Linked DNA regions of Lonchura striata. The protein of the gene in region 1 interacts with the protein of each later gene in a pairwise test. Links are inferred from orthologs where the notes say so. Each region holds a gene or a part of one and is shown on either strand. Other genes may lie near its edges.

Region 1 (15,415 bases):
ATCTGAATCAAGACTTAGACAAAAATTAATCAGCACACTCTATTGCAATTGTTTGCATAGAAGGAAAAAATGGATTTTTTCCTGCTGCTTAACCTTTGCTTCATAGAATTGTAGGTATTGTTTAGATTAGAAAAAATTTTTTCAGCCTTTCAGAACACAGCTTTTTCTGTATGGTGTCAATCACTACCACCAGCAGCTGTTGTGACATCATCATATCTGACATCAGAAAAGGATAAAGTAAAAAAATTGAAATTAACTATGAAAAGCCAAAATTTCCCATACATTGAGTTCCCTTCCTAAATTTATCAGGGAATGGCTTTGAAGACTTCACAGTGATTCTAGGCTTTATATCTTGTGCATGTTATACTTGTCTGTGATATGCACTGGGAACACATGGATGAGCAGGAATGCATGTTTTCTTATTTCTAACTTGTTAAGCAAACATGTTTCATTTTGAAGGATATAAGCTGGAAGAAAGCTGCAGATTTGTAAAATGTGGATTTAAGATACTTCTTACTCAAAATAATGACACACTGTATATTTTAAAAAACTACACTTAATTGTTAGCACTTAATAATATGTGACATTATTTTCTAGTGAAGTACCTGATGCTCCTCTTAAGAAATTCAGTGTAATCAGAAAAGGCTGTTTCGTATAGCTTGAAATAAAAAAAAAAAATTAATAGGATTTGAATCCAAAATAGCATACATTCCCACTGCCTCCCTTCCAGCCTTTACTTATTTGCAGACTGGCTGATTTAGGTTAGGATTTGTGTTTGGTTCTTCTGTCTATCATCAGAGCTGACTTTATGGAAATGCAAAATAGGTGGTGGCCTATCCCAAAATTTGGGATGAGCCTCTAGGCCACACTTATAAACATTCACCACTCACCAGTAAAAATTACTGATTTTTAACATTGCAGAAGTATGTTAATACATTATTGGGAAATTAGGAAGTGAATGGGAAGGAATGCAAAAAGTATTCCTGCTTAACAGAAGAGGAAGAGACAAAAGCCAGTGTCCTGTATCTGAGTGGACTGTCACTAGTGTCCTTCAATGGTGCTGTGGCATCTTTTTCCTCAGTCTCATACAGCTCTTTGCAGGTAGCTCTGCTGCATGTTCCCCTCATGAGACATGAATTGCTTCTGTCACCCTGTGGAGAGGCTTTTGGTGTGTATTCCATGGGACCTGCCTACACCTCTGATAATGGAAAAAAAATATAATGAAAATGATTGGAAATGCATGCAGAAGGATAAAGTTCTTATCCTTTAGCTCTCTCTGGGAAGTTTGACAAAATAGATTTACATAATCCAAAGAATGTAACTGTATTTATATGTTCAGGAAATGCCAGTAATCTAAAGTATAGTGTTCGTGAATCAACTAATATGGACCATTGGTATAACAAAATAAAAAAGATGAAAAGACTAAATTGTTCTGCTAGAATTGTTCCCTCATAAAAGCTATTAAATATTACCAGAAACAAGTCTGTCCACAGGCTAAAAAGTGGCATTACCATTGAAACATCCTTTAAATTCACTAGTCAGTTACTAATAATCAATGAAATAACAAAGAACTGCTTCAGTATTTAATAATTATAAAATTGGTAATTTTAAATTGTTCATAATTAATTGGATAACCATAATAAAACATGAAAAATGGGACATGAATAATCTGTGGGTCAGTAAGAGTTATGTTCCCGCAAACTGAAAACATTTCCTGTTGGAAGTTGTGCATGACAAAGCTGTGTATCTATTTTTTAAAAATAGCAAGGTGAAATTATGATGAATATCTCCCTGGCTGTTCTTGAGAATGAAACTATTTATATTCAGGAAGGAAGGGATCAGATATGGCATTGTCACAAACAGAGGGAGTTCCTGATTGCCTCGAGCAAACATCAGCTCTGAGAGGAGCATGTGGGCTTCATGTGGCTGATCTTGGACATGGTGGCTTTTTGGGCTCTGCATGCATTCCTGGGGACTAAGTCTGGGACAGGTCTTCAAAACCTAGAGAGGTAACCTTGTTCCACTCACAAAATTCAGTGGGAAAAATGGGAGAAATTTGCCACTGAATTAATTTTCCTTAGTCTCTGTAGGTAGGTTTTTTTGTGGGAGGGCATGTTCTGACACCTTGTATATTTTTGTGGAAAATTGGTACTGCAAACTGCTGCTGTGATGGCTCTGCCATGAAGCTAAAATCTAGTCCTTTCATTGGCATCCATTTCAGGCAACACAACATATCTAAGAATTTCTGACTTAATGAAAGCAGACATCTTTCAGATAAGAAAATTTCACATATATGCAGATTAATAGGATCCTAGATAAATGCTAACCCTAGTCCACACTTTCATCCTCAGCTTTAGGATGCTTATAATATTAATGACATAATTAGAGGAGAGACAGGTGGCAAACCCTGTTATTAAGGTTGTCTGACATTTGCCATAGTCAAGGAAGGCAGCTGCTGAGCCCTGCAGCTGGCTGGCATTGTCCACTCCAGGATCCAGGTGTGTATCAAGCATGACTAAGCCAAGGAGGAATGGCCATTCCTTCCATGAATGGCCATCCAAGGTGGTGATGTACACATGACCACATGAATGCCTAGATTGTAGGGTTTTTCATACTATCTCTACCCTCCTCCTGCTCCTTCTTGTCATGCAAAGCTATGTAGACAAAATATGAGTAAATTCACAGTATTCACCTTCCAGGCTAAGAAGTGGTGTTATGGTAGGAATGCAGCATGAGTTATTTTTTGTAGGTTTTTTTTTTTTTACTGTTTAAAGGGTGCTGATATAAATGTGACATATTCCAGCAAGTTATGAAACACAATTTTTTTATAGACTGTACCTCCACAAATAGTTGTAGATAGGCAGACATAGCCAAATAGTAGCTGTATCCTGGTCTTGTTGATGCTGCTAGGAGAGTGAGCTGTTCAGTCACAGTACCAGCCTGTGGTGTTAATTCATTATGCCATACCATCCTCAACATTGACTCCACAGCATGAAGAAATTCACAGAAACATGCAAACACTGGAATAATTTTGTATTCAAATCTTTCCTCAAATGTCTTTTGCAGTGATGCTCATCAACAATTTAACAACAGCTGAGCTGCTGGTGAGCTGAAATAAGGATTTATGTTGCTGACCTGTGCAGTTTCCTTTAACTCCCCCCCAGCACTGTAGCCTGTTGTTTCTTGTCTTAGATTGTTAAGCTATCTGTCATATGGGTTGTGTTTTTCTCTATTTGCTTAGTGTCTGACACAATTTTGTCTGTTAGTAGAGCTCTTATGTGCTTATAATAACAGTAATAACAAATATGCTCATCTGGCCATGAAGACTGTGCAATAAGATTCTTGTTGTTTACTAAAAGGATCTGTTTTCCAAGAACCCTCATTTCATTTGTTTCAGCAACTGGAAAGTAGGAGTTGAAGGAAGAGAAATGAGATTTAAAGCACTTAACTTATTCCCTGGAGCAGTATGATCTATTCATGTCTTTGTCATAGCATGTTTTTGAAATGTAATGGTAAATTACTTAATACCTGGTATTTTCACTGATAATCATTAATACTGCATTTCCCATTTTTGGTATTTCTGACATGCAATTTGAGCCCATCTCTTTTAAATATAGGATATATGTGCCTAAAGTTAGAACTATGATTTGAGCCTAAACAGCACTGTGACTCAAAATTACTAAAATTAATGATCAATTTAGTCTTGCTAGGTGAGAGCACCCATATGGAAAATTCAAGTGACTCAATCTTCTAATTCCAAGAGTGGCTGTAAAAATTGATAAATACCTCTAGAACTATTCTTTGAGGTCCATTTTAAAGGACCTCATGTTGCTTTGAGGTCCATATTCAAGCTGAGGAAGCAATGTAGTAATTCTCTCTTCGGAGGAAAAAACTCCAGTAGTGGCTTCAAGCACTGCACAAGGGAGAAACAACCACATTTTGCTGTTTGCTCAGGAGGAATGAATTGTGTTTTACACAAACAATAAAATTAGTAAATGGCCCATATCCAGAATTTCAGCACCATCAGGTTGTGGGTCATTCTGTGCTGCAACAGAGCACAGAGGCTGTCCATGAACAACCACTGTCCTGTGCAGCAGGAGAACTCTTGGGACCAGACTCTGTTTTTCAATACACTTTTGTTACTGCAGTGTTTATTCTAGGCAAGCTCTGAAGTATACAAAATTATATCAAAGATAACTGAGCCATTCTGGAAGGAAAAAAACCCTTAAATTGTTACTTGCTTATTTGTTTAAGACACTCTGAATTCTTTTCTATGGTAGATTTTTCTATATTTGTTTGAATTTAGAAAAAAAAAGTTAAAAAGAGGGATGAAACCAAGTGAACAACCTCCTTTAAAAAGAAAACAAACTCTTAACAGTTAAATTCATTACTTTGGGTGTGACCCACTATATAGTTACAACTCCCTGACTAGTTTCCATGATCATGCATGATGAATTTGTCATAGGATATGATGTGAGCCGCATTCCTTGAAAATAGTGCTTTATCATTCAAACATCAATACCTCTAAATAGCTGGTTAGGGCAAATATTTCCATAATATTATAAAGAATATAAAGTTTATACTAGTACTGAAGGACAAGAGGAAATTTCTGTTTGCATTTCTTTCAGCTATAAGGACTTTATATTACTAACATGAACCTGAAAAGCAGGAAGGGTATCTTCAGGAGTCAGGAAATTGCAAAGCAAAGCTCGCTGCTCTAGTTTGGCACAGTGAGATTAATAACAAACAAAAATGTAGTTTTGTATTAAAGATGTTTATCATAGACCAAATAAGTCAAAGCCCAGCCTTCTGTCAAGCAGTGCCTAACAGTGATTTGAAGGTTATAAATATTTGAAAAAATAAGACTAACATCTTGAATGGCAGCTTTTAGCCATTTTCTTGATATCAAAGTTACTCCAGTTAATTTTCAAAGCCTAAGTCAGTCTCACAGACTTAGTACAGGTTAACTGTGACCAAGCTTCCCTTGTAGATCTTAAATGCTGCAACTGCTTCAAAGCTAAACTTTCTAATTCCTCTAAAATGATGGTAATTCTGCTGAAGTAGACAGGAGCCAGATTCCAGCCTGCAGAGCCACTCTGTCACCTGCTCTAGTACAGGAGTCACAAAGAACAATGTGCATCTCTTGTGCTGCACATCACAGGATGCTCCCTAGCCCTGCTAATGGGGCAGCATTTTCTATGGCCTCCCTGTGTTCATTGCTGTAGGGGAATGGTTTGAAATCCTGCTTCATGTTCTCCCAGATGTCTGGAACACTGTCTGCCAGACATGTTCTGCTGCACTCAGGGTCTCCAGCAGCCACCCTGTGGACTGGGTCACTGCCTCAGGTAATACACAAGAACTCAAAATTCTGGAATATATTAAAACTGGATATGCAAACAATTTAGAACTCTTTCCAACATGTCCTAAAGTACTGTACATATGCTAGACCTTTGTTTTTAATAATCTCTTCAGTAACCATTTTACCCAAAAATGTCTTTGCCACAACTGGGGGTGTGTGTGCTGTAGCTTACTTTCTAACCACTAAGAAATGCAAGTTTATGCTTGATAAGATTGTTTACAGTTCTGCTGTTCACATAACAGCTGCAGCAACAGGCAGAACCAGAAAAAGCTCTTACTTCATCCCCTAATTGGCAAGCTTCTGTCTAGGTAAGCCATACCTCTTGAAATATTCTGGATTTTCATGCTTTCCTTGTCTAGTTTTGGTGTTTACATATCAAACTGAGTTGTCAAATGTTTGTTATAGCTTCTTGGAAGCAGAAGACATAATGCAGTTGTAAAGGTTGCTTACAGGTAACTCCATAATAATATGTGCATTGGACTGCTTTCTTGGTATATCCCTGCCCCCCAACCTTTTATATTTATAATTTCTTTACATTAAAGTTGTTAAAGGGTGGGGATGTCCTACTTTTAGTAACACAGTAAGAGAGAAATATATGTCTAATTGAAATTATAAAATTGTGTAAAGGCCAAAAATGTAAATATATTCACATGAGATTTGTGTATTAGTCCTAACCCTGCTTTGTTTCTCTGTGTGTCACTTCTTCCATCTGCTCCTTTATGGCTCTTGGCTATGTGTCCAGACCTACCCAGTCCTACTTGTTAGTTTTATCTACTCTTATTTTCTTTGTTCTTCTCCCCTTTGATCATTTCCCCTGGTTGTATATCTAGAAATGTTTATTCTTTTCCTCCTATTTTTAGTTAATAAACAAACAGCTAAACAAAGATAGTAAGAACATTCTTCAGAATGTTTACAGACTTTTTCATAGTTAAGCCCCAAATATCATGCTTTCACTAATCATATTTTGGCCATAATTAAAATAAGTTTTGAAAGCCTACTGTAAACTCATTCATTCTATACCAGTTCAGACTGTAAAAAAATGTAAGCATTCAGTAAGTATACATTCCTCCATAACAAAATCCTGAGCAGCTTCATTTCCATCATGAACAAAGAACCTCATTAATTCTGGTTTCTACTAATTCTGTGAGTTCACAGAACCATGAATTTGTGTCATTTGCAACAAAATGAAACAAAATGTGTTTTGTGCCAATGAAAAAATCTTTCATGGAGAAGAGCAGCTTTGTGGGTTGGGTGTGTGGCTGCTGACAGCAGTACTATCAAAGCGTACCCCAGCTGAATTTATCTAGTTTTTTATTTCCTTACTCATATTTATTGTTATTAGCAAGACATGACACTTCATTACACTTCTTAAACAAGCCCTGTAAAATTGCTGGAAGATAAGAATATCAAAACAAAGACTTGACAAACACATTCATCCAATCCTGATGGGAAGAACAAACGATCTCCTGCTTAAGTTTTCCAGCACAATGCTGGAGGAATTTATTCTTTAAGTGTCCTGCTCATGTTTTTCAAAGCATTAAGCTTTGAACTATCTCTTATATTGCAGTAGTCTGATAAAGAATATGGTTAAAAAATACAGAAAGCTCTGATAATAGTAACCCAAATAGCAGTGGCAGAATTTGAGTTTCTATCTGTAATCTAAATAGATTCAGATCCTTAGAGTTCAGCACTGTGACTTAAATGCAACAGCAACTTTATTGGCAACTTGGTGACAACTGATTCTGACTGCACTAGCTTTAGGGCAAATATGGACTTTAGGAGGCATCCTTCCAGACAAGAGTCTTCAAATCCTGAAAAGTGTGGATATGTATCAGGAGCATTTAACCCAAAGAATCAGATGAAACATTTAAGTTTCCTTCTCAATAGTTGTATGGAATGTTGACATGTAATTAAAATGTGAATCTATTTAGGGATTTTGTCCATTACAAAAATCTCTTATGTATTTTACCAAATTATTTTTATTTGATTTATGTAGGTTTGTACAAGTCTGCATATGCTGTTTATCAGATTCACTACTTATTATTTTACAGCACTGTGAAGAGGAACTATTTTTTCCTGGCGCACTTGAGTCTTCATATGCAGGCACCACTTTAAGGCAGATAGATTCTGGAGTGGACTTCTGACACTTTGTAAACCTTTTGTTCTTTCAGACATCCTGTCTATTGTAGCAATAGCTCATTAAAGAATAGTTTCTTAATTCATCAAAAACCCCTGGCTTCCTATAGGAAGCAAAGCATTTATCACAAGATAATCTTCAACTGCTCTAGTACTTCACCAGATTTTAATCAGTGATTACCTTATAGAAGCATTCTTAACACCAGATTCCTAAGAATTGTCCTATCAGTTCTAATATAAGTGCATAAATGGAATGTATTTGAAAACTAGTCCACATAGGACATGACAAACTCCCTGTGCAGATATACCCATAACTGCCCTCTGGATCCATCTGTTGTGACCAGAAGTGTCAATGACCACATTCTACAATAGCAGTGTTCAAACCTGAAATGTTTCCTACTTGGTTGCTGAGAGCCTTTCAAGCAGCACTAAGAATATTTCACTATGCCTAGGTCTCCCATAAAAACAACTTTTTCTTCCTTTAATATTTCTAGTATAGGAATGGCAGAATTCTACCAGCTGTGTATTTGACAGATTGATACTAGAAATTACGACCGACTTTCAATTTGAAGAAAGTTAAAAACTCTATTTTTATCCACAGTGGGCAGAGAGGCTGCTACCATTTCCCACAAAAGACAGGATACGAAAAGAGTGGAGCAAGTCCAAATTTGAACTTCTTATATGGAAATATAAAGGCAGGTAATGATCAGAGTAAGCCAAGAAAAAACACAAGCTCCTTCTGATCTGTGAGGCAGTGAAAGCAGAATATTAATAATAATTTTAACAGAATTGGAAGGGAGTGGCAGAAAGCTGTACTATTCCTGGTGCCTGATCTGTTTATCTCTAACTGCACAGAGAGCATAGGCAACATGGGCATGGGCTGGGGGCAATGGGAAAACAGAGCCTGCCCCTGCATGTGCACGGTGATGGGAAGGAGCAGCAACTGCACAAGACAGAGAGGATGAAAAGTATGATTACTGAACTGTTGGAAATTTCATTTTATCTTCCCTGGAGTATAAGAAAATCCTGTTAAACCGTCAGTTTAAACCACACCAGCTTAATATTACCCATTAACTCAGGCCAGGCCTCTTGGCCAGCCCTGCCCAAGTCTTTCCACCATTCCCACCGTACCTATACGCGCACAGCCTCCATCCTGCACGCCGCACCGTGCATCCTGAATCCCGCACCGCCCATCCTGCATCCCCCCTCCCTGCACCGCCTGTCCCGCACCAGTCACCCCGCATCCCACATCCCATACCCCTCACCTCACATCCCACACCCCGCAACCCTCAGCCCACATCACTCACCCCATACCCCGCCTCCCACACCCCACACCCCTCACCCCGCATCCCACACCCCTCACCCCACATATCTCACCCCTCATCCTACATCCCTCACCCCACACCCCTCACCCCACATCCCGCACCCCTCACTCCCCACCCCTCACCCCGCATCCCTCACCCCACACCCCTCACCCCACACTCTGCATCTCACACCCCTCACCCCACATCCCTCACCCCTCACCCCACATCCTTCACCCCACACCCCTCACCCCTCACCCCTCACCCCTCACCCCACATCCCTCACCCCGCATCCCTCACCCCGCATCCCTCACCCCGCATCCCTCACCCCACACCCCGCACCCCTCACCCCGCATCCCTCACCGCGCACCCCACATCCCTCACCCCTCACCCTTCACCCCGCATCCCTCACTCCTCACCCCACATCCCTCACCCCACATCCCTCACTCCTCATCCCGCATCCCTCACCCCGCCTCCCTCACTCCACATCCCACATCCCTCACCCCTCACCCCACACCCCGCACCCCACACCCCTCACCCCTCACCCCACACCCTTCACCCCACATCCCACACCCCTCACCCCTCACCCCTCACCCCTCACCCCTCACCCGCACAGCACCGCAGCCGCCGCGCTCCCCGGCGCGGCCCCGCCCCGCAGCCCCTCGGGCGGGCGCGCAGGAACATGGCCGGGCAGGGCGGCAGCAGCGCTGGAGGCCGCGGCATTGTGGTAAATGCGGAGCGCGGCCCGGCTCGGCCCGGCCGCTCGACCCTCGCCGGCCGCGGTGCCTCCCCGGTCCCCGGCCCGCTTCCCCGATGTCCCCCGGCGCTTTGTGCTGAAGCTCCGCGCCCTTCCCTTCCCTTCCTTCCCCTCCTCCGGCCCCGGCCGGCGCCTGGGCCGCCTCCCCTCGCCCCGCGCCGCTCCCGCCGCGCCCGCGGCCCCGGCCCCGCTGCGGCCGCCGGAGCGGGACGGGCGGGCTGGGCTGAGCCGCGCCTTTGGCTTCCGCCGTGAAAACACGGCCCGGTGCCGCCGCGAGCGGCCCCGGGGCCGAGCCTGTGCCCGTCCAGGCTCCTTGAGCACCGGGGATGAGGCTCCTCGGTCATCCCGAGGTGTCTTGCTCCCACCGGAACTCTGCGAGGCCTCTGGGAGAGGGTTGGGCTGCCCGTGTTTTGCTGGGGTGGGAAATAGCCCGAGCCTTGGCATGCGCTTGAAATGTCTGTAGGGATGGATAAATGGTGCAAAAATGAATGAATGTGATCCTTATTCTGATAGACACACCAGATTCTCCTGTGAAGCAAATGCCATCACTGCCACCACCTTAGGTATGTTCTTATTTCAATGTGGCATTAGGATTTTAACAGAAAGTTCACGGGTCAGCTGCCCAGATCATGGCACAGGACGCTCTGTGTAGGCAGTGGTCACACTGTCCACTCCAACATCTCTTTCATCCCCCTCCTGAAGGACCTGTCTCCATGTATTCGAGCTCTGTCTGAAAACACCACACATCAGCCACATCTCCTGACACCTGTGTAATAAATTACATTCCTTAAGTGGGTGACTGTGCGTATCATCAAGCAACAGGAGGTTATTGCAAAGTCAGACATGAATGTGCATGACCATGTTCTGGTGCTCTGATTTAATATTTCTGCTCAACTCCCCAAAAACCCAACCAGCAATAAGTCCAGTGCAGCATTATTTAAGTTACAAAAGCTGGACTTTGCTTTATGCTTTTTGGAGCCGAGGACTGAGCTCAAACCTCACCTGTGCTCACTTTGCCAGACAAGAAAATGAGCAACATTCTTCTAAAGGTGTTGAATGTCTTCAGCTTGTCTCTTAGGCCTCAGGGGAAAGCTTTTGGATATTGCCATGTATTTATATTCCTCTTTGTATCCATTCACATCAACTTTTTAAAGACTTACTGAAGAATATCTGATGGGCTATTCAAACATGTGAAACCTGAACTTTAAAAGTAGGTCTTTATTTCACTGTAGGAATGTTTTACAGACAAATATGCCAATGTATTTAGAATATATATTTACTTATCCAGTTGAACACTGTTTTTTTTTCTGAAAACAATGAGACTTTTTTTCCTTCATTTTTAAATTCTCAAACAGAATAGTCATAAGAATTGACAGTTACTTGAAAATTGTCTTACAGCATAACACTGTGAATAGGTTTAGGATAAATGAGAATTTCCTAGACTTGTTGGGAAGTGCCTGTTTAAAAGAAAGAGGAATATGAAAAAGGCTTATTATATCAGACAAATAATTAATTTGAAAGTACATGTGAATTTCATCTTGTTTGTCAAATGCCAGCAAGCACTTGTAAACAAGAACTTCAATATTATTGTAGAGTTACACTATGTTCTGCTATTCTAGAAGGATAAATGGGAGAATGAAAATTTCATCCTGATCCTGTTTTATGAAGGACTTATTGTAGCCTAAGTAAAAGTTATTGGGTTGTATGAATTCTAAAGCAATTTTTATCCATTTAATTTGTTCTGCATCACACTGAAAACATGCAATTTGCCAAGAATGCAGAAGTAAGCAACGCTGACAGGGGTTGCTAGTGGGTGTTTGTAATACTTAATGAAATTGTTTCAGTTTGCATTAAAATGCTTTTGAACAGACCGTTCATTGCTACAAAATGTTTAAAAACTTCCAGCCTCCTCATGCACTGAAGAAGTAGATGGGAAAATAGTCTTTCCAGGCCGACTGCAGCAGTGTTTCTGGGGCAAGATTTTCTCTAATAGAAAGCTCGCCAAGGAGGATCTTTATAATCTCCTGTTTCTATGGAAATGAGGAACACAACTAAGTAACTTTTTATTCTTCTGTGTAGTTTCAAGGCTTGTGTAAGTCAGGGGAAAAGCTTTCATTGATTCCAGTGCTCTCCCAGTCATGCCCTTCATGGACTAATATTCAGTAGCCAACGAGTAATTTTTTTGATGCAGAAAATTTTGGGTAGAGTTAAGAAAATGTGCCAGTCAAGGAGCCTGTAACTGTCAATGAATATGAAAAAAAAGCCCCCAAGAAACTCAAAATCCATAAAGCAGAACAGTGTTTCAGTACAGCAAGAGGCAGGGCTGTGTCTGAGTTAAAGAAGAGGGGATGTGAAGGACAGCTCAACATCAAATATGTTATCTTAGCCAAAACTGTGAGGAACAATTTAGTGCTCTACTATAAAATGGTAAGGAGAGATTAATTTCAGTGATGGTCCTTTAAAGACTGTAGCAAAAATGCCACTAAGATATGCACTGCACAATGGCAAGTTTGCCTCCATTTCTCCTTATAATCAAGATTCCTGTAGCCAGGCTGTAGAAAATGTGTGACTTGAGGAATATGATTGTAAGGAAAACCTATTAGGTGTTGCTTTTTATCCTGAACCAGTATTGGAGCAAAGCTTTGCAATGATTTCAAGGTACCTTGTGAACCTGTCTTATCTGAAAGCCTTGTCTTTCATAAGGAATAGGGAAAATGTTTGTTTTGGAGTTTGTGTAGTTTTTGTGCTGGTGACTTTGCATTTCATAGCTTTCTGAAGCCTTCAACCGTTGGCTAATTTTTGACCTTCTTAATCTCTACCACTATTGTATGTTGTGAGATCTAATCTCTGTATTCTGATACTTACAAAACCAATGTATATTAAGTCTGTAAAATATTTTTTATGTAAATATATGGATTTACAGACTAGTTTCATAGTGAGGTGAGATGCAAACATTTTGTAATCACTCGTATTTGATGACATCTAAATTAACAACCTCACCTTTGACAAGAAGTACTGTTTTTCACTGATTTGTACAGATATCATCCATGAAACACATAAATTATTCTCTGAATGTGCTGTTTCATCTGTAGAATACTTACCTATTTATTTATAACTTTAAGTCATTCTAAACTAGAAATGCACAATTTTAATATAGAATTTTTTGTCTTTTATTCCAACATCTGAATGTCCCATTGGAAAATCTCTTCTTACTGGCACTATTATTTTTGCACTTTGAATTTGAAAGTACTTAGAAACTTATTTTTGCCACTAGTTTAGTATTAAATATTTCCTTTGTCTGTCTAGTTGTTTGTAATTTCAGGTGACATTTCCCACACTTTGTAGGGAGAAAGATGTAGCATTTGATTTCTGAGTTATACAGAGAAGCAAAATAATTAATGGGAAAAGCAAAATAGTAAATTGTAACTGGAAGAAGTTATGGCACACAATGAATTCATCCAATAGAGTGTACTAGAATGCTGATTTTGTATCAGTTACATAAGGTCAAACACCACGAAGTGTTCTTGACAGTACTATTTGATATTCAGATTTCAGACAATTGGCCTGGATACAGTCTGGATTTGTTCACTTACCCTCAACACTACTATGGTGACCTGGAATATGTGCTCATTCCTCATGGCATTATTGTTGACAGGTATGTGTTGCTTGAATGTTACTAAATAAATTGTTTGGTCAGTAGTATTATTCTTTTTTATAAAGGTGGTCATCCATATACCGTACATGTATGATTTTTGTAATAAAATAAGTTAAAAACTTGGATATTTTTATTTAGAAATTTAAATTAGTACATTTTTGTCTGTCCTGGACTGCCTACATTTTTAACATACAAAGTGGTCTTTGGAATTCCTGGAAATTTTAGCTGCAACCAATCTGAGGAACAATATAAAAAATAAAAATTAATCAAATAAATGTTTCTTAATGAGAGGTTTTCCCCATTCTCAGACTTGATAAAGATGATAAAAGACTATTTTATTAATCTTCAGTAAAGTAAGTGATCCTCATTTTTAAAACACTAAAAGGAATTATATATTTCAGATCAAATAAGATGATCTAATTTTTCTAATCTCTTCTATTTCTCATCTAAAATATGCTAATTATAGCCATATGGAATTTGCTACAGCATTAAAAATAAAATATGTGGAAATGAAGCAACAGCTGTTTCTCATACTTAATATATTATCTTCAGTCTAGAGCTTATTCTTCTCTGCTCCATGCACAGATTTCACTAAAGACCAATCAATGTACTTATGTAGCGGCAAATTGATTTCTGTATTGCAGTTGATAGAGAAATAAAGAAAACAACTAAACCTGAAAAATGTAATAATAAAATATATGGGATAAATTATGGGGTTATTTAATAAATTGTATCCTGTCAACAAGTCCACTCTTGTTGATACTACTAATCTAAGTCAGAGAGCTATAAAATAATTTTCCAGTGGAAGTGTTTACAGAATATAATTTGCTGAGCTGTTTTTCCTCAAAACATCAAATGACATTTTAAAGTTTCCTATTGATACTTCATTACATCTAGAAATGACCCAGTACCCTACTGGGGGTCTAGAAACACTATATTTAAAGTTAATATTATTTACATTTATTACTAAGATTAATATTTATTATTTTTATCTTAAAAATGTATGTAGCATTGCATGGCAGAAATGTGTACCCTTTGTTTCCAATCATCTGCCATATTGTGTTTGCCATACAGAATTGTCTGAAAGGACGGTTTTGTTTGGGAACCACACAATTCCAGGCTCACTGGGGCATTTGCTTGATTATTTTCCTGTGTGGGACCTTGAACAAGTCAGTGAAGCTCTTTGCACTCTTCATTTCTGCTGTACAAAGCAGTGACCTGTACAGAATAGTGATAATATACACTCTTTATAAGCTTTTCACTGATGCTCTATTTCATTCTAGTTTTTATGTATATTTTTCTTAAAACTGTAGGGGTAGCATCTTCCAAAGCCAATCAGCATGAAAGTTTCAGATATTTTCCCTATCTTCCACTTGTTCTTGTGCAGTAACTAACATAACAAGTTAGGGGTTTGTACAGGTATATTTTATACTGATAATTCCTGTGAGGTAAAATGGAAGGCTAGTTCACATTCTTTTCTCTGGAGTCTCTGACATATTTATGAGCCTAAAATATGCTGAGATGTGTAGGTCCTGTTTGTATAGCTGGGAAATTTATGCATTTAAGGTTAACTAGAATCAAGTGCTTTGCATATTACATCCATCACTTTGCTATCTGTGAGCTGGATCCAAACCCTATCAAGCACTGGAATGGACTGTCCTGGAAGGTGGTAGAGTCACCATTCCTGGAGGTGTTCAAGAAAAGACTGCACATGGCAGTTACTGTTATGGTCTGGCTGACGTTGTGGTGATCAGTCAAAGGGTGGGCTTAATGATCTTGAAGGTCTTTTCCAACCTAAATCACTCTGTGATTCTGTGAAGTCAGGCTACTTAAGCAATGCCAAGCAAGCTTTATAGTCATGATAGTGTTTGTAAAGCATACCATGAACTTAGAGCATCTGCATCTAAAGTTATTTTATCTCTAATTTTTTTTTTTGTGCAGGACAGAACGACTGGCGAAAGATATTATGCAAGACATTGGAGACAATGATATTGTGGTTCTCTGTGTCCTCAAAGGTGGCTACAAGTTCTGTGCTGATCTTGTGGAGCACATTAAAAATCTCAGCAGAAATTCAGAAAGGTTCATCTCCATGAAAGTCGATTTTGTTAGACTGAAAAGTTACCACGTAAGTCAACAACTGATTTATGTAGATTCTGGTTGAATGCCATAATAAATTATTGACTTTTGCATGTGAGTTCTCCACCTCC
Region 2 (15,713 bases), on another chromosome or scaffold:
AGTTTTCTTTTCACAATTGACTTCTTGCATCCTAAATGATTTTGTATTCTGTCAGGCATGGAATTGCAGAACAGCAGGTGAAATGGGAAGTTTCTATCAGTGGATTAAGAAGATGGGATTATAGAGAAATCAACCCATTTTTTACTCATTTTGGTTACTATCACTGTACATGCAGACATGCAAACATTTTTTTCTTATATTCTTCAGAGTGTTTACTTTTCTGGTAACAACCTTCATGGACTTTGAAATTACTCCAAAAGGACATTTATAATTTTAAAGCTTCCTTGAAATATTTGTTCACTATTCACTCATTCACTGAAAATGTTGTACACATGAAAGAGTACAAAACATTTAGCTATAGAAGCATTTTCTGCTTTACAAGAGTGTACAACCTAAAAAAAGATGCACTGGGTATCCAAGGATATGGATGTACCAGAGCACATTGGACTTCAGTTTCCAGGATGCTGGATATAACACTTTCCTCATCAAGCTATTTTAAAGCAACAAAATTCACTTCTTAAGCATAATTATCATGTACTTCCACATTTCCTTGTCTGCTCACTGCAATAAAAACCTGAATTCCAGCACAGCCTTACCTCTCTTCACTGTTCACTATGCTCAGCACTGGGTCCACAGACAGAACACCAAACACCTCCAGCACATCATTGACTTTGAAGCTCTCCCAGCTCTCATAGACCTGCCCCAAACAGAAAATAAAATGCTGAGGCAGATGGGCCAGATGCAGGACAGCAGAAAAACTGTCGGACAGGAAATTCAGGAATCTCAACTCTGGACTGAGAACAGTCTGAGTGAAGAGGTGTCCCCTTGCCCTCAGTGTCAGTGAGCTTACACTGGAAAAGGGAGTGTTATGACTCCACACTTTTTCTATTGGCATTTTTTGCCACATGAGTGCCAACAATTGTATTCTACTCTGATTCATCAAGATTTACAGAGTAAGAGAGAAGTCAATACAGCAATAGCAGAGCAAGTTTGTGTAAAGTTTCATAGTAATATAACATAGCAGTGAATCAAGGACTATTTCAAATTCAATACACCAATGTGTAGTTTATTGGTTTTTCAGCTTGGTTTTTCACAGCTGTTTTTCAATTAAATACCAGGGCTAAATACCAGCTGCACCCTGGAATCTTTCCTTTTAAACTAAGTGGGGTGAGAAGGTGCAAGCTCTAATAAATGCTGCTGAAGGATTTCAGCAATTCAAATGCAGCACTCAAGAAGAGAAACACTGTGTTAGTGAAGAGAAAGAATGTAATTATCTCTGGAAACAAAATTCTGGACTCCAGACACATTTCTGTGCCTACAAACCAGTGCAAGGCTGATTCTGCCTGCCTCACAGAGACCCCAGCCCTGCTCATCACCTCTCCATCTCTCACCTTTACAAGACATGCTGGTCCCTTCTCTCCTGGCAAAGGAAAATTTAGGTCAAGTGGAGGGGAGCAGTTGGGAGAAATGACATGATGACCTGCAGAAGCTTCTGTTTCTAATCTCTTTGGCTCCACACATCCATGGATATCACTTCCACTGCCTGAAAAACACAGGATTTACAGGCTTAAAAACAGAAATGCAGAGCTGAACAACTTTCTTTAGTAAGCAACACAGAGTAAAACTAATTTAAGAAAACATCTGAGACAAGAATATTTAATAATGCAATATTCCTGACAGAATATACTCTTGATATGAGAAGTCTCACAAGTGCATATTTTATGTAATCAAGTTAAGTGTGGGAGAGAGTACTGGCAAAGATCTATGTGTCATGGACAGAAACCTGATTGTCAAAGAAATTTTTTTCTGCAGTGTTTAAACCAGGCAATTTTTTTTTTTCTACAGTCGACAGGACTGCAAAGGTAATATTTTTCTGCATTTCATATTTAAAAAAAACAGGTAAGAATATGCATAAAACGCAGTTTATATTAAACATTTCTGTAGATTGTCAGCAAGTCACACAACACACATACAACACTATGGGCTCTCCCACACTCCTTCAAATCAAACCACTGACTTCAACAAAGCCTCCAAATCCTAAAGGCTGCAACAACAATAACAATGAAAACAGCTGGCAAAATATCTGTTTTTAGCAATGAATTTTTGCCAAATCCTGGAGAGATATCAGAACAACTATTCACCACCAGCAGCTCTTACCCATGTGTTGCTCCTTCTGTTTGGAGGGATGCAGATCCATGTCCTCATCCTCCTCATAGCTCCTCTTGTGCCGACTGGGGGTGTAGGAGGTGGAGGGGCTCACTCGGGCATGGCTGGCACTGATGTAGGCCTGGGATCGAGGGTTAAGGAAGCCACAGGCTGAGCAGGGAAACCTCAACCACACTAAGGTTTAGTTGTTGGTTTTTTTAACAAAATCCTAATCTTAACACGCTCAGTTACAGGTGTTTTATAGGAGACTCTTACTGTGAAACAGTGTCCTGCTGCAGAAAATGCCAATGGCTCAATTAAAATTTCCCTTTTCCTAAGCATTAGCAACTAGAAATGAACAGAAATTTTCAAGACTTTCCCAAGCAAAAACATCTATGGAATCAAAACTAATGCTCCTAAATCAATTTGCATCCTCTTTGTGTATATTACACGCCATCAACTTTCCTTTTTTCCTCTTTCTACACCTATCACCTCTCCAGATTCACTAAAAGAAAAAAAGAAGTTTTAAATAACTTTATCTCCTAAATCTAATTAATTAGTTGGTGACCACTGATTGTATAACAAAACACTGGCTTAGTCAAAAAAAGATATTTCTTTCACCCATGCTGATTCACCAGGCACTGGAACACAGTAGAAAGTTTGTCTCTCTGAGGTGACTGTTTGTGAGGAGTTCAAATCAAGTTCCTGCTGAGGCTGGAATCCCAAGAGAAATTTTGTTAAAAATCTGATTGCAATTTGTTTTCCTTTTTTAAACTAACCCCACAGATTCAGTTAATCAGCCAGAAGTTACAATTAACATGTAAGACTACATAACTCAGGAAATATGAATATATAATGTTTTGATTCAAATTGTACTGCACTACCAAAAGTAACTGTTTTCCACAGCAGGCAGTTTCAAGGTCATGGGCACTCCCCCTTCCACTCAACCAAAACAAATTTTAAATACAAGAGAAACAGCTGGAAGCCCACTGAAATTAATGCCAGTGAGCAGTTATGAATACTCTGCTTTCCAACCCAAAGATTAACTTTGCATTTAGAGCAGCAACTTCACTGTCAAGTACCAAAGAAGCTCTGTCACACTTACAAAACTACAACTTTCCACCCAATATTTGTTCTTTAAGTTCATATAATTTTTATAACTTACCCCACATTCTGCCACATCTCTGTATTTACCAAAATGCAAAACCTGTCAAGAGGGAAAAAGCAATGCAATCATTCTGTTTCTGACAGCATCCGGAATATGAATCACACCAAAATCACTGAAGCCCAAAGTCCCTCACAGACATCCTGCCAAACCTTTCATCACTTTAACATTTTCTATTCAACAGAAATGTAGCAGGTTATTTTTTACTGATGCCACTTGAGCTGAACACAGTTACAGTCAGTGTCCACACTCCATAGGTTTAACTCACAAACTACAGAAATACAAGGACCAGAATAAGTAAAATGACAAATATTTGCTAAAATAGTAACTCAGTATTTCACTTACACGTGCATTTGTGTTTGGGTCAACTGTTTCATACACTCCCATGTAAAACTCAGGATCAAACATATCTTGAACCATGCAGCGAAATTTCACTAAGCTGTTGGGTTTTAGGTAATGTACAGGAACATCATTCAGTGATGGGACCTGAGAAAAAAGAGATTTTTCTATGCAACTGGTATATATTGAGGCAAAAAAAGTGAGCCAAAACCAGCAGTAAAACTTAATTCTTTGACCATCCTCCTCCTCAAACCCCTATACACACACACACATATATATATATATATATATATATCACACTTAGTATTTTCTGAGTGCATCTCCCATCCTAATCTTAGCACCAACAAAATGTTTCTATCCCAACACCTTCCTGCAATGGCTGTTACAATTATCAGGAAGTTAACAGAATTAACAGTTCCCAAATTCTTCCAGTTCCAAATACTGAAAGAACATCTTCCTATAAAAGAAGCTGTTACAGGTCACTGGAACTGTATGAAAACTGTACAACATTTGAAACCAAGTTTTCAATTTCGAATTATTGCAGCTGCAGGATTAAACAGAATTTTTCACTTATCTTATTTCTACTTAACAGCACTTCCACCTCGTGCTGTGTACCAGCAGTACTAGAACAATTTGCATGCACAATTGCCTATAACAAAAGGTCCTGGAAAACCTGTATGTTAATTTCCAAGTCAACATTGGGGAAGTCTTTTTCACACAGTTTTACATGACAATGGGAAAATAGAAGGGAAAAAAAAAAATCAACGCCTAAGCACGTGGTACAACTTCAAAGAGCAAGACTTGTAATATGAATAGAGTTTTCTAAATTTGAAGAGAAAATCTTTGTTGAAAAAGCCCACATCCAACATTAAAATGCAACAAAAGTGGCCCTATAGGAAGTGGCATTTTAACAAAAGTATATTGCCTCACGGTATTTTTTGAGTAAGAAAATATGATTTCAATTCCTTCTGATGTGGTAAATTTTACTCAATTTTGCCATTTATTAATGGTAGCTTTGATTTAAGCCACCATTTAATACTAAGTACACAATACTTTCACTGACAGAGAAATAAAACCAACAATTTTCACCTGGTTTTAGTCATAGGTAGAACAGATTTGATATGAAAGCTTCTAATCCCCTTATCAGTCCCATTATGCCATTTCTGCTACAGCCTTTTAGGAAAGTATCAGCTTTTGAACTCCACTGTTCACACTTTATTTTTAAAACCTAAAGCACATCTTCCCGGCTAAACTGCACAAACCAGGCCTGACCCAGCACAGTTTTAGTAGGAAAAGCATTTTTTCCTTAAAACCTGAAGGTCCAGACAACTATTTATTCAACCCACACAAGTGTGCAGCATTGTGATAAAAGCTCCTGAGACAAGAGGTTCATAACCAGCAGCTGGTGGTGCACAGCGAGGACTCGCACTTCCCCAAAAATGACAATATTTGTCATCGCCTGCCATCTACTGACTGTGCTCCAGAGTGGCAGCAGCAATGGCCTGGGGGAAGGAGGGTGCTGAAGGCAAGGGCATGGGTGGGCTGGGATTTCACATCCTGGCTTTACACTCAGGTTAAAGCAGCCGAGGTGCAATTCCACATCCCAAAGCCTGGGCCTGAAATTCAGCTGCACGCTTATCACGAAAAAGCAGGACTTATCAAAAGCAAGCCACTGCAATAAAGTGTAATAATAAACAACGAAGCTTAAAAAAAGTGTAACTCGAAAAGAATAAAACACTCTCACCCAGTTAGTAGCATTGTTTTCTTTTAATTTCTCCTTGAAGTATTCGGTTACCTTCTTCTCCCAGTCAGAGTTCGGAGCATTTTGGGCTACAAAAAAAACCAAAACCATATCGATGTGCCCATTACCACCACATAAGAGACTTTTACCCAGCATATCGAACAAACCCAACTTTCACTTTTATTTTACGGAAGTGCAGCTTAGACTAATTTACTCCCCTTGCAAGTCACTGACTTCCCATTTCAAAGCCTTTAAGGCCAACCAAGAAGCACAGAGCCATTCCTGGGAGCGAGGGAAAGCTCCGCATCGCCCCAGCGGGGAAGGGCAGGAGCCCAGGCTCCGCTTTCCGCGCTCTGTCGGCTGCGGGAATTTTTATGTCGGTGTTGTTTTAGTGAAGATCAAGCCCAGCACGGCCAGAGCCGCGGCTGACCGCGCTGGTAACATCAGGGCAGACAGCGCGCCTTGCTGCAGAACCCAGAGATACACGGAGAACGCAAAACACGCTGTATATAAGACATACACGACATAAGACAGAGAATCTGCCCCGCCACCACCCCACGAGGGAAAGCGCCCTCCGGTTCTCCGGTTCCGGGCGCTCCCGCCCTGCCTCACCGAAGATGCCCTGCACGATGCTCAGGGGGCTGTTCAGCCAGTCGCCCACGCACGGCATGGCGGGGTGCCCCGCGGGGCTGCCGGCACCCTGCGGCCGCCGAGTCCCTCCCGCCAGCCCAGCGCGGGGATCGCCGCCGCTTCCTCCTCCCTCCTCCTCTTCCTGCGGGAATGGCGGCCGCGCCCGCCTCCCGCCCGCCCCTCACGGCTGCGCGCGGCCGCCGCCGCCATCTTGGGTGCGGGCGGAAGGGGCCGCGGCCGGGACGTGGCCGGGGCGCGGCCATGGCGGCGGCGAAGCCCGGGGGAGGCACCGGCACCAACCTGCTCTTCTCCTCCTCCGCCACCGAGTTCAGCTTCAACGTGCCCTTCATCCCCGTCAGCCAAGCGCCGGCCGCGCCGCCCGGCCCCGCGCTGCTGCCCGCCGGTACGGAGAGAGAGGGAGGCGGGGAAGGAGCGCAACCGGGAGCGCGGGGGATGTGCGGGGTCCCGCCGGCAAAGGGAAGGGCCGGGAGAGTCCCCAGAGCCGAAGTGCCCCCAGTGCCGCTTTCCGGCACTTAATTTCTTCTGCTTCCCCCGCTTGATGCGTGTGTGTGTGTGGATTTAGCGCTGTGCCTGAGGACGGGCGCTGATCGTCGCGCTTCCGAGGTGTCGGTGCTTCCATTCAGCACGTACTGAATGTTTCCGCGTTTTTTAAGCTCCTCTCTCACGTTATCTTCTGTTTTCCGGGTTTGAAAATAGTACCTTAAGCAGCCGCCTTAAATATCCTTGCTAATTTAATCCTGGTTCTAATATCCTTTTCTCCTAAAGCTTTAATGGTGTTCCCAACACATGCGCGTGCAATTTACAATCTGGTGTTCAGGCAGTTTCAGATAAAGGAATGGATTTTTTTGGGAATGTATTCAGTCAGAGATTAAAGCTTGAAACATTAGAATGCATCTAGAAACAAGATATTTGAAATTTTACTGTATTGTACGTGTTGGGATTGGACTAATGACCTCTGAAGGTCTCTTTTAACCCAAACTGTTTTATGCTGAGTCTTCAAGACTTCATTTCAACTGTTGTATCTTAGCTGAAATAAGAATTAATATGGCTGGCAACCAGTGTAGTACTTCTCTGTAGATTTAATAAAACGTTTGCCAGTTATGGCTTTGGAATAGTTTTTTTGGATCGACTACATTTTTTGGATAGGAGGGATAAAAGCATTAAAAGATTATTTCTACTTACTTGAAGTATCTAGGTAGTTGATACATTTACTAATTCCTTTGTACAAGCATTATAGTTTTTCTTTCATGCAAATACACATTATATTTTCATTAAGAAAATAGAACAATTTTTAAGTGCTGATCTAGCTAGTAGCTTTATGCAAATGGCTGTCCTGGCAATTTCCTGAACATTTTGAAGTCAGCCGAGGATAAAATCTGATGGGATTTGATTAACGTGGTGAATCTTATTCTCTCCGTGTAACTTAAAATTTGATCAGGTGAGGATTCATGGTCTTGCAGGTGGAGTGAATTTCAGTGTCAGTCCAAGTAAGGCCCATGTCCTGTTAAATGTTCTGTTTCCACAGTCAAGTGTACTCACCATCTGTCTAGCCAGGTGCTGTTGGGATCTTCTTGCTGAGTGGAATATTTTGTATTTGTAGTCATGATTTTTAATTGTGTAAATGTAGTAAGAATCAATCCAGGGATTTGTTTGACACCTGACAGCCAAGATTAGGGAGCTGTGTGCAGGCATTCATTTGTTTATCTGTCTCCAAGAGTGATTAGTTAGTGGTGTGAGCTATGCAGTTTGACAATAAGATGCATTCTCTGGCTCAGGTGTGGGTGATGTAATCAATATATTTACTGTAAGGTGGGAGGAGTGATCCCAGTGACAACGTGGACTGATGTCACTTGTGGTTGTGTGGTGACAGTCTGTGAATGACAAAGTTCTGCCTCGTGTGGGGAGGGATGTACAGGAGGTTGGCACACTCACAGGTGAAGAAAGGCTGTTCTGTGCACGGGGAGAACACATCAAAGCTATACACCCATTTTTAAACATTTGTATGACGTGCTTGTTTTTACAGCGTAGTTTTTGCAAAATTAGAAAAAGTCCAGATCAACAGTAACTTTTTGTGTTGGAAAACTGCATGTGTGTGCATATATGTACTTATAGGGGTTTTTTAGGCAGAGCTTTTGTCATCCTCATTTTGCAAGGAAAGCTGCACTTAGGCTTAAATCTCCAAAACCTATTTGGAACTGGAGAATAGTGGGTGCTTTGTGAATATTCATTTGCTGAAGGCCCTGAGAGCTCTTGGGCACACTGCTGCATGTTTGTGGTGGCCTGACACGGCGAGGTGAAGGGCCTGCTCTGCTGCCAGTTGTTTGGGAAAGCTGAGAGTTGACAGCATGGTTTGCAGTGTGATTCTCTCTGTCCCACACTGTTTATGAAATGTGAAAGACCTTTACTTAGTATGCTGAGACCTTTTATTTAGTATAAATGCCTTATGCTTGCAGCTGGGAAATGATCCCCAGGCCTGACTTCAGAGTGGTCACTGGGTATAAGTGGTTTCAGTATTCTCCACACAGAGATTTTGGCTTTGTTCCTCAAAGTGGGATCAAGTGCTGGAAGGGAAAGCAAGAGGTATTTGAGGCAGGTGATGACACCGTCTGTACAGACTAAATAAAAGGTGGTTAAAATAGTTCTTTTTAATCTTGGCAGCTGCCTCTTTTATGATTAATTAATTAGAACAGCAGCTTCCTAGGGAGACTTCTCCATGGATTCCCCTGTACTCCCTTGATGCTCCCTATTACAGTTGTGTTGGCTGTGGATAAAGGCATTTGTTGTTGGCTGCTCGCAGCTGCAGAGACTCTTGGTCTCTCTGCCTGGGCACTGAGCAGCAGAGATGCTCTGTGGTGTCTCCCCCGCAGCCTGGCATCATTTGATTGCCAGACAGTTGAAACACTGCTGGTTTCTGCAGATGGCACTGACTCCTTGCAAGGTGCTGTTCCCTCAGGAGGCATCCCAGCCTGAGGTGAGCTTGCTGTGAGACCTCAAATCATGACAAACCTCCTTTGTTCCCACTTGTTCCTAGGTCACCGCAAAGTAGAAAACTGTGATTGGTCAGGAGTTCTTTTACTTATTTTCTCCATGTGAAGGGGCATTCATGGCCTTGCATATTTTTAAATCCTCTCTTGCAATTATGCAGAATGATTTTTCTGCATGAGAGATGTGGCTTTTATGCAAGTCTAGAGTAGGATTTTTAGAGCGAACTGGACTAAGTCCTGCTCATTAAGTGGCTTGGGATCATGAGTTATGGCCACTTTGCAAACAGATGAGAAACCTTGAGAGGGCTCTGCTGAAGGAGCAGGCAAGAATGGATGGTTTAACCTGTAAGGTTGGCCTATTTAGGAATGTTTTTAAGCTCTATCCTAAAAATAGGAGCCTAAAGTCCTATGCTTAGTAGCTGTTTTCATGTTGAAAGGATATAAACCGAGGTTGTTCTTGCATTTGAGGGATAAGTGAAGTAGGGATTTTAGTGCCTGTCAAATTGCCCTGGGAAAGTCCTGACTCCAGTTATATTTTGGTTTCTTATATAATATTTGTTGCTTTTTCTGTGTACACTGAGTGACTTTCATGGTCCATTTTAAATGTTCTTGAAGACTTGGTATCTTTTGTTTCATTTTATGATGTGCTGAATCAAGGATGGGTAAATGTTATGGAGCCCAACAGTTTTGGCCATAGCTGATGGTGTTGCAGAACATTTTGACCCCATACAGTGATTTGAAGCTCTCACAAGATCTCTGGTGATCCTTTTGTTTTTGCAGATGATTCTGCAGATGTTGGGGAAGAGGACAGCTTCTTGGGTCAGACATCAGCCAGCCCCAACCCTCCACAGACTTTCAGCTACTTCTCTCAAGTTCCCAGCAGCAGTGATCCCTTTGGGAGTATAGGACAGCCACCCTTAACAACTGTTTCAACACCTGTTGGAGCACCAGCCTTCTCCAGACCTCCCACTTCACTTCCACTCGTGTCTGGGTCCCAGGATGGGCAAAATGCCTTTTCACCACATATTCCCAAATCCCAGTCTTACAGTGCACCACCCCCTTCCCAGGTGGGAATGGCGCCGTACCAGCCCCCTCAGCAGAGCTGTCCCCCACCTGCCAGCGCTGCCCTGCCCACAGGGACCCCGCAGCAGCAGGGCTACAACCCCTACAGGCACACCACCCTGAGCAGCAGGGCCAACCCCTACCTCACCCCTCCCCAGCTGCAGCAGAGCCATCCCCCTGCCACAGCATCCCCTGTGCCACCTGTGCAGATGTACCAGACACCCCCGGGGCCGCTGACACAGGTACGTGACTCCTTCCAGCTGCCACAGCAAAACAAGGCACTTTCCTCTTTCAGCTGTGTATTTAATCTTTTGAAGATTTTTCTTCTCTGCAAAAAAACCCAGAAGAAGTCTTGAACCGTTTACAACAGCAAAAGCTTTTCACTAGAAGTAGCTTGGAACTGTTGTTGCAGGAAAACTTCCTGATCTTTGAAGTGAGTGTATCCTGAGGCTGTAGCTCTGTCAGCCTCTGGGCATCAGAAACAAAGCCAGGTTGTGAAGTTCTCTGGCACTTTTCTGTGGATTTCTGAGTTTGCTGAGTTTCAGCTGTGTTGCTGCATTTTTTGTGCCTCAGCTTTAAATCAGGTCATTCAGCCATTTCAAAGATATGGTCTGAAATCTCTTTTTAAGCTGGTTTTGTTGGTGAAGGCAGAATTTTTTCAAACTAAATCACATAAAATTGTCAGCAAATTCTTTGAAACACATCGGTTGAGGATTTTGTGTGATATAAAGCGATAATCTTCATTGTTTTCTACCTGCACAAAAGCATTATTAAAGTAATGCCAATGGGTTAATAAAACCTGGCACGTTTGCCTTGAAGATACCAAAAACTGTTTTTATTTTTGCCTGAGCTATTATTGTATATCTGTTATTGTTAATGAAGAATGTGAAGGTTATATAATGACAAAGCATAGCAAAGGCAGTAGAACCTAAACAGTCTGGAGTTTTAGATTGTATAATTTCAGAACTTCTATTTATTGGATTTTATATATTCTACAATACTTTCCTGCCCTTTTTTTCCCCTTCTAATGTATAATTTCAGAACTTCTATGTATTGGATTTTATATATTATAAAATATTTTGGTGCCTTTTTTTTTCCCCTTTTTAATGTATTATCAACCAGTGCAGTTGCTGCTGCTGACATGAGTTGATTTAGTTGTACTGACTGGGATTTTTGTACAATTTGTATGAAATCAGCTTTATGTAGGCTGCAGACCCTTTCAAAATCAGTTACCTTTCTTGTGCCACCAGTGCTACATTTGAGTGTGGAATCTTCCTGTTCGGGTCACTTTGCAGGAAGAGAGCTATAGCTGAAGTGGCCACTTGTTAAAATTGGGAGTCTTTATGCAAAAGCATAATTATGTGTAAATAAACAATGTGAAGAATATGTTTTTATTTTCATGTCACATTTTGTGGTTGTAAGAAACAAGTTCAGCTCTTTTGAAAATTTAAGAGAATATTTGAAATCTCACTGATTTTAGGTCATCATGATGCCAAACCATGGTAGTTTTTAACAGTGTTTATAGAAATGAAATTCACGTTCTTTCACAATTTGAGAAGGTGTAAGTTCTTAAACACATGATGAAGTGGAGAATATTTTTAGAATGGAAGGTAATGTTCTTGGGGAGAAAAGCATGTTAGAAATAAAGGTTCAGAATATTTCCTATAGTAAAGTATAAAAGAGTTCTGCAAAAACCCTGTGAGACTGAGAGGCTGAGCCCGTCTTTTTTCAGTTTCCACCGTCCCAGTCCCAGCTCCAGCCTGCCAGGCCTGCAGGGCCCCTGGTCCCAGCCCCTCCTGTGCTGCTGCAGAACCAATATGAGCCAGTTCAGCCCCACTGGTTCTACTGTAAGGAGGTGGAGGACAAGCAAATATGGATGCCATTCAGCATTCTGGATTCTGCAAAACTAGAGGAGGTCTATAATTCTGGTAAGTCCTGTCTTATCCAGAGGTGAGCAGAAGGACTAAAGCAAAATGTTGGGGTAATGCCACTTGTGTGTGGCAGTAATAAGTAATGTTTTGTGCCAGTTAATTTCACTGACATCACTGCCTGATGCTGTGATCTCAGTGTTGAGATGTACCATCCCAAATAAGTATCAGATTTTCATATAGAGCTCTTTGTTATTTGTGTCTTGGGTGTTATTTTTGTTAAACTTTGTCAGTTCTGGAATAAGTATTTGGGAGTTTTTCCAAGCTTTTTGTTATGTACAGAGCATATGGGAACATTCTAGAAGCATCACAGTGTTACAAAGCTTCTCTGCCATGGTGTGACTGTCAGTCCTAATGGCCTCATATTGATCACAGGAGTGGCTGGGGCTGGGCTGAGAGAGCAGAGATGTGTCAGTGTGGTAAGCACACCTGGCTGTGTGTCCCAGCCCAGCCTGACCCCAAGAGCACAGAGCAGAGATGTGTCAGTGTGGTAAGCACATCTGGCTGTGTGTCCCAGTCCAGCCTGACCCCGAGAGCGTGGTGCTGAGCACAGGGCAGAGCTGTGTCAGTGTGGTAAGCACACCTGGCTGTGTGTCCCAGTCCAGCCTGACCCCGAGAGCGTGGTGCTGAGCACGGACGGCGGCCGCTACGACGTGTTCCTGTACGAGCGCATGAGGAAAGCCGTGTACTGGGACGAGGAGCCCTCGGAAGTGAGGCGCTGCTTGTGGTTCTACAAGGGAGACAAGGACAGCCGCTTCATCCCTTACACTGAGGACTTCAGTGACAAGTTGGAGGTTCGTAAGTGGCAGAGACCTTGTGAGTTCATTGTGTTCATCACCTTAGAAACAGTTCTGTTTCATGAAGATGAATTTCAGAGTGCACTTTCTGGAACATAAGAAAATCCTGGAAAGAGGAGTGACTAGAAGGCCACATTGCTCCCACATCAGTCCTGCATTGCTGTGACTTAAAATCTATTGAAACAGTGTGACCCCCCTGCATGGGGAATAACGTGCTCTGACTCCATGTTGCAGAAAGCTGAATTAATTGCTTTTATTAAGCTACATTATATTACATTAATACTATACTATACTAGAACTGTATCATACTAAAAATATACTCAAGAAAAGCCCATGATTATCTCCAGACAGCCACGACACAGCTTTTTCCAATTGGCCAATTGATCCAAACAACCATCACTGGTGTCCAATTAATAAATCACTCTAAAGTAAACAATCTCCATAACACATTCCACATGTGCCAAACAGGAGCAGTGAATTGAGATAAGAACTGTTTTCTTTCTCTGAGCTTTCTCACTGCATCTCACAGCTTCCCAGGAAAACTCCTGGGAGAGACTCATGTCTCTCTGTGTTTAGAGAATGTGAATACCACAAAAATCTGCTTGAGTAGTTTTACATGTGACATTTTTATATAAAGAAAGTTATGTAAATTTTAACTGTAGCATTACATGAGGCTACAAAATACTGAGAAGGTTGCCATGCTGATTTTGTGTAACTTGTTTTCTGTTTCAGGCAGAATATAAAAGGGCTGTAACTACAAATCAATGGCATCGGCGACTTGAATTTCCAAATGGGGAGACAATTGTCATGCATAATCCAAAGGTAATGGATTTTGGCAATTGTGTCTTACGGGATTCATTAAGGGGGAGTGAGCAAATGGATGGAAACATAAATTGAATTGGTCCTACTCTTGCATGAAACATACCAGTTTGTTCTAGGTGTGTGTGCATTAAAGTTGATCAAGTTTACAGAACACTAAACTTGTGCTTGCTTCAATGTGCTGTCATGTGGTTAAAAGACAGTGCTTTCTGAAACCCAAAGAGAATAAGGGTTTGCATAATAAATATTTTGGCTAAGGATAACTGGCAGCAAATGGTAAGCAACTTGAATTAGTTTAACCTCAGTCTATATCAAATGAAATTAAAACAAAGAGCTTTCATATGGAGAAGAGCATTAATCTAGCTATAAGGTAAGTAGTTTCTTTAGGGCCTGAGAAGGTTTCTGCTTATTTGTAGGCCATGAAAAAGTATAGCAAGACAAACTTTAAAAGTGAGCAGTCTCATATTCTTCATGAGACTTCATGGACTTCAACCTTATTGATCAATACTGTTAACTGTTCACTTATCACAGATACAGTAATTAATACACAGACCTATCCAAGGGACTGAAAGGATCATGGTTGCTCCTAGTTAAAGTGTTTAATAATCCTGGTTAGGGAATTCTGTCCACTAAAAATCTAGAGAAGGAGTATTTAAGCCACTTGATGTCATAAATATGAGTTGAGACTGTAAGTCCTATAAACAACTGTACTACTGAATTACTCACTTTTCAGTTTTTTTTGACTACTTCAGATGCTGTTCTTCCCTGAAAAGCACTGCACTTATTTATTTCCATTTTCTCCTTGTGGTAGGAGAAAATACCTATAAATCAGGTAGCATTCAATTTCCTCACATTAGCAGTCATCTGCTAAGGAAGAGTGGATACTGGAGACTAGGAAGGAGGAGCTTGAATAATGCTTGGCTGAGGAGTTAAAATGGTTTAGAATCACTGAACAGGCCCAGCTTCTTCACCTAGTGGTTACTTGGAGTCATCTGTTTTCTTTTCACACTAATGAGGATTTTGTGGAAGAAAACATTTGATTTTCAGATGCAAGGTAAAGCAATCAAAAAGTATGTTCAACCATGCAGTGCTTTCAGACTTAACAGTGTGAGTCATGAGGTTTTACTGTGGTTTGAATTTGACACTGTATTTGTTCCAGGTCATAGTTCAGTTCCAGCCTTCTGCCACACCAGATGAATGGGGCACCACTCAAGATGGGCAGGCAAGGCCAAGGGTAGTGAAACGTGGAATTGATGATGACCATGATGAGATTCCTGATGGTAGGTGATGAGATTCCTGGTGTACTTCGGACAGTCTGCACTGGGAGCAGTCAGTCTGGATCTGTGCAGAAGCTGGACAATAGTGGGTGGAGTGGCTGTGTGCTGTTCATACCTGGAGTCTAAAAGTTAAATTTATTCCTTCATCTCAGCTGTTTGCTGAGGTTATCTGGTTTTGGGGTATTTTAATCAAAGGAGTCCTGTGGGCTCTGTTATGTCCTGAACCATGTTATGTAAAAGACTTTATTAAACAAGTGTGTATGACACTTGCTAGACACTGAACTTCACTCCTGCTGTACATATTGGTACTCTGAATGTTTTCCTTTTTTTTTTTTTTTTTTTTTTTTTTTTTTTTTTTTTTTTTCTACAGGAGAAATGTCCCAAATTGACCATCTAGTATTTATGGTTCATGGCATAGGTCCTGTATGTGACTTGAGGTTTAGAAGCATTGTTGAATGTGGTAAGTTTGGGCTTGTATAATGAGCAGTTATATTCTTGCTGTTTAAATGTGGCTCTCTCTAGCTCATATTCAAATAAGCATATCTTTATATTATTTTTTAAGAAAAGTCTCTACAGTTAACAAATTGCATTTTTTCATTATTATTTTCCAAAGGCAGAATCTGTGGTCTGTCAAACTTGAAGGTTTAGCTGTTATTACTAGTACTCAATATCACACTTGTTTGGTGATTTGGGCTTTGGGATGTGTGGTGAGGGGTTTTTTTGGTTGATTGGTTTTTTTGCTTTTTCTTTCTGTGGTGTGAGTGGATGTGTTTGCTTTGTGTGGCTTGTGTGTGTGGTGTGGTTT

The links.
Region 2: the proteins of PRTFDC1 (region 1) and MCMBP interact in binary tests that used the Homo sapiens proteins (3 or more experiments, as listed by UniProt). The two-hybrid records come from large-scale screens. The link is inferred for Lonchura striata from reciprocal best matches to the Homo sapiens genes PRTFDC1 and MCMBP.

Annotation. Positions count from the first base shown.
Region 1 is NC_134603.1:139,824,937-139,840,351, reverse strand, and holds the start of PRTFDC1 (phosphoribosyltransferase domain-containing protein 1), read left to right. Parts: upstream 1-9,449; 5' UTR 9,450-9,478; coding exon 9,479-9,523; intron 9,524-13,101; coding exon 13,102-13,208; intron 13,209-15,149; coding exon 15,150-15,333; intron 15,334-15,415. UniProt on the Homo sapiens protein: Has low, barely detectable phosphoribosyltransferase activity (in vitro). Binds GMP, IMP and alpha-D-5-phosphoribosyl 1-pyrophosphate (PRPP). Is not expected to contribute to purine metabolism or GMP salvage.
Region 2 is NC_134609.1:27,492,743-27,508,455, forward strand, and holds the start of MCMBP (mini-chromosome maintenance complex-binding protein), read right to left. Parts: upstream 6,171-15,713; 5' UTR 6,061-6,170; coding exon 6,003-6,060; intron 5,480-6,002; coding exon 5,394-5,479; intron 3,797-5,393; coding exon 3,656-3,796; intron 3,353-3,655; coding exon 3,311-3,352; intron 2,860-3,310; coding exon 2,758-2,859; intron 2,288-2,757; coding exon 2,158-2,287; intron 1,544-2,157; coding exon 1,392-1,543; intron 698-1,391; coding exon 597-697; intron 1-596. Other genes in the region: SEC23IP (SEC23-interacting protein), read left to right, coding at 6,282-6,423, 9,806-10,329, 11,820-12,015, 12,616-12,809, 13,545-13,634, 14,791-14,911, 15,279-15,368. UniProt on the Homo sapiens protein: Associated component of the MCM complex that acts as a regulator of DNA replication.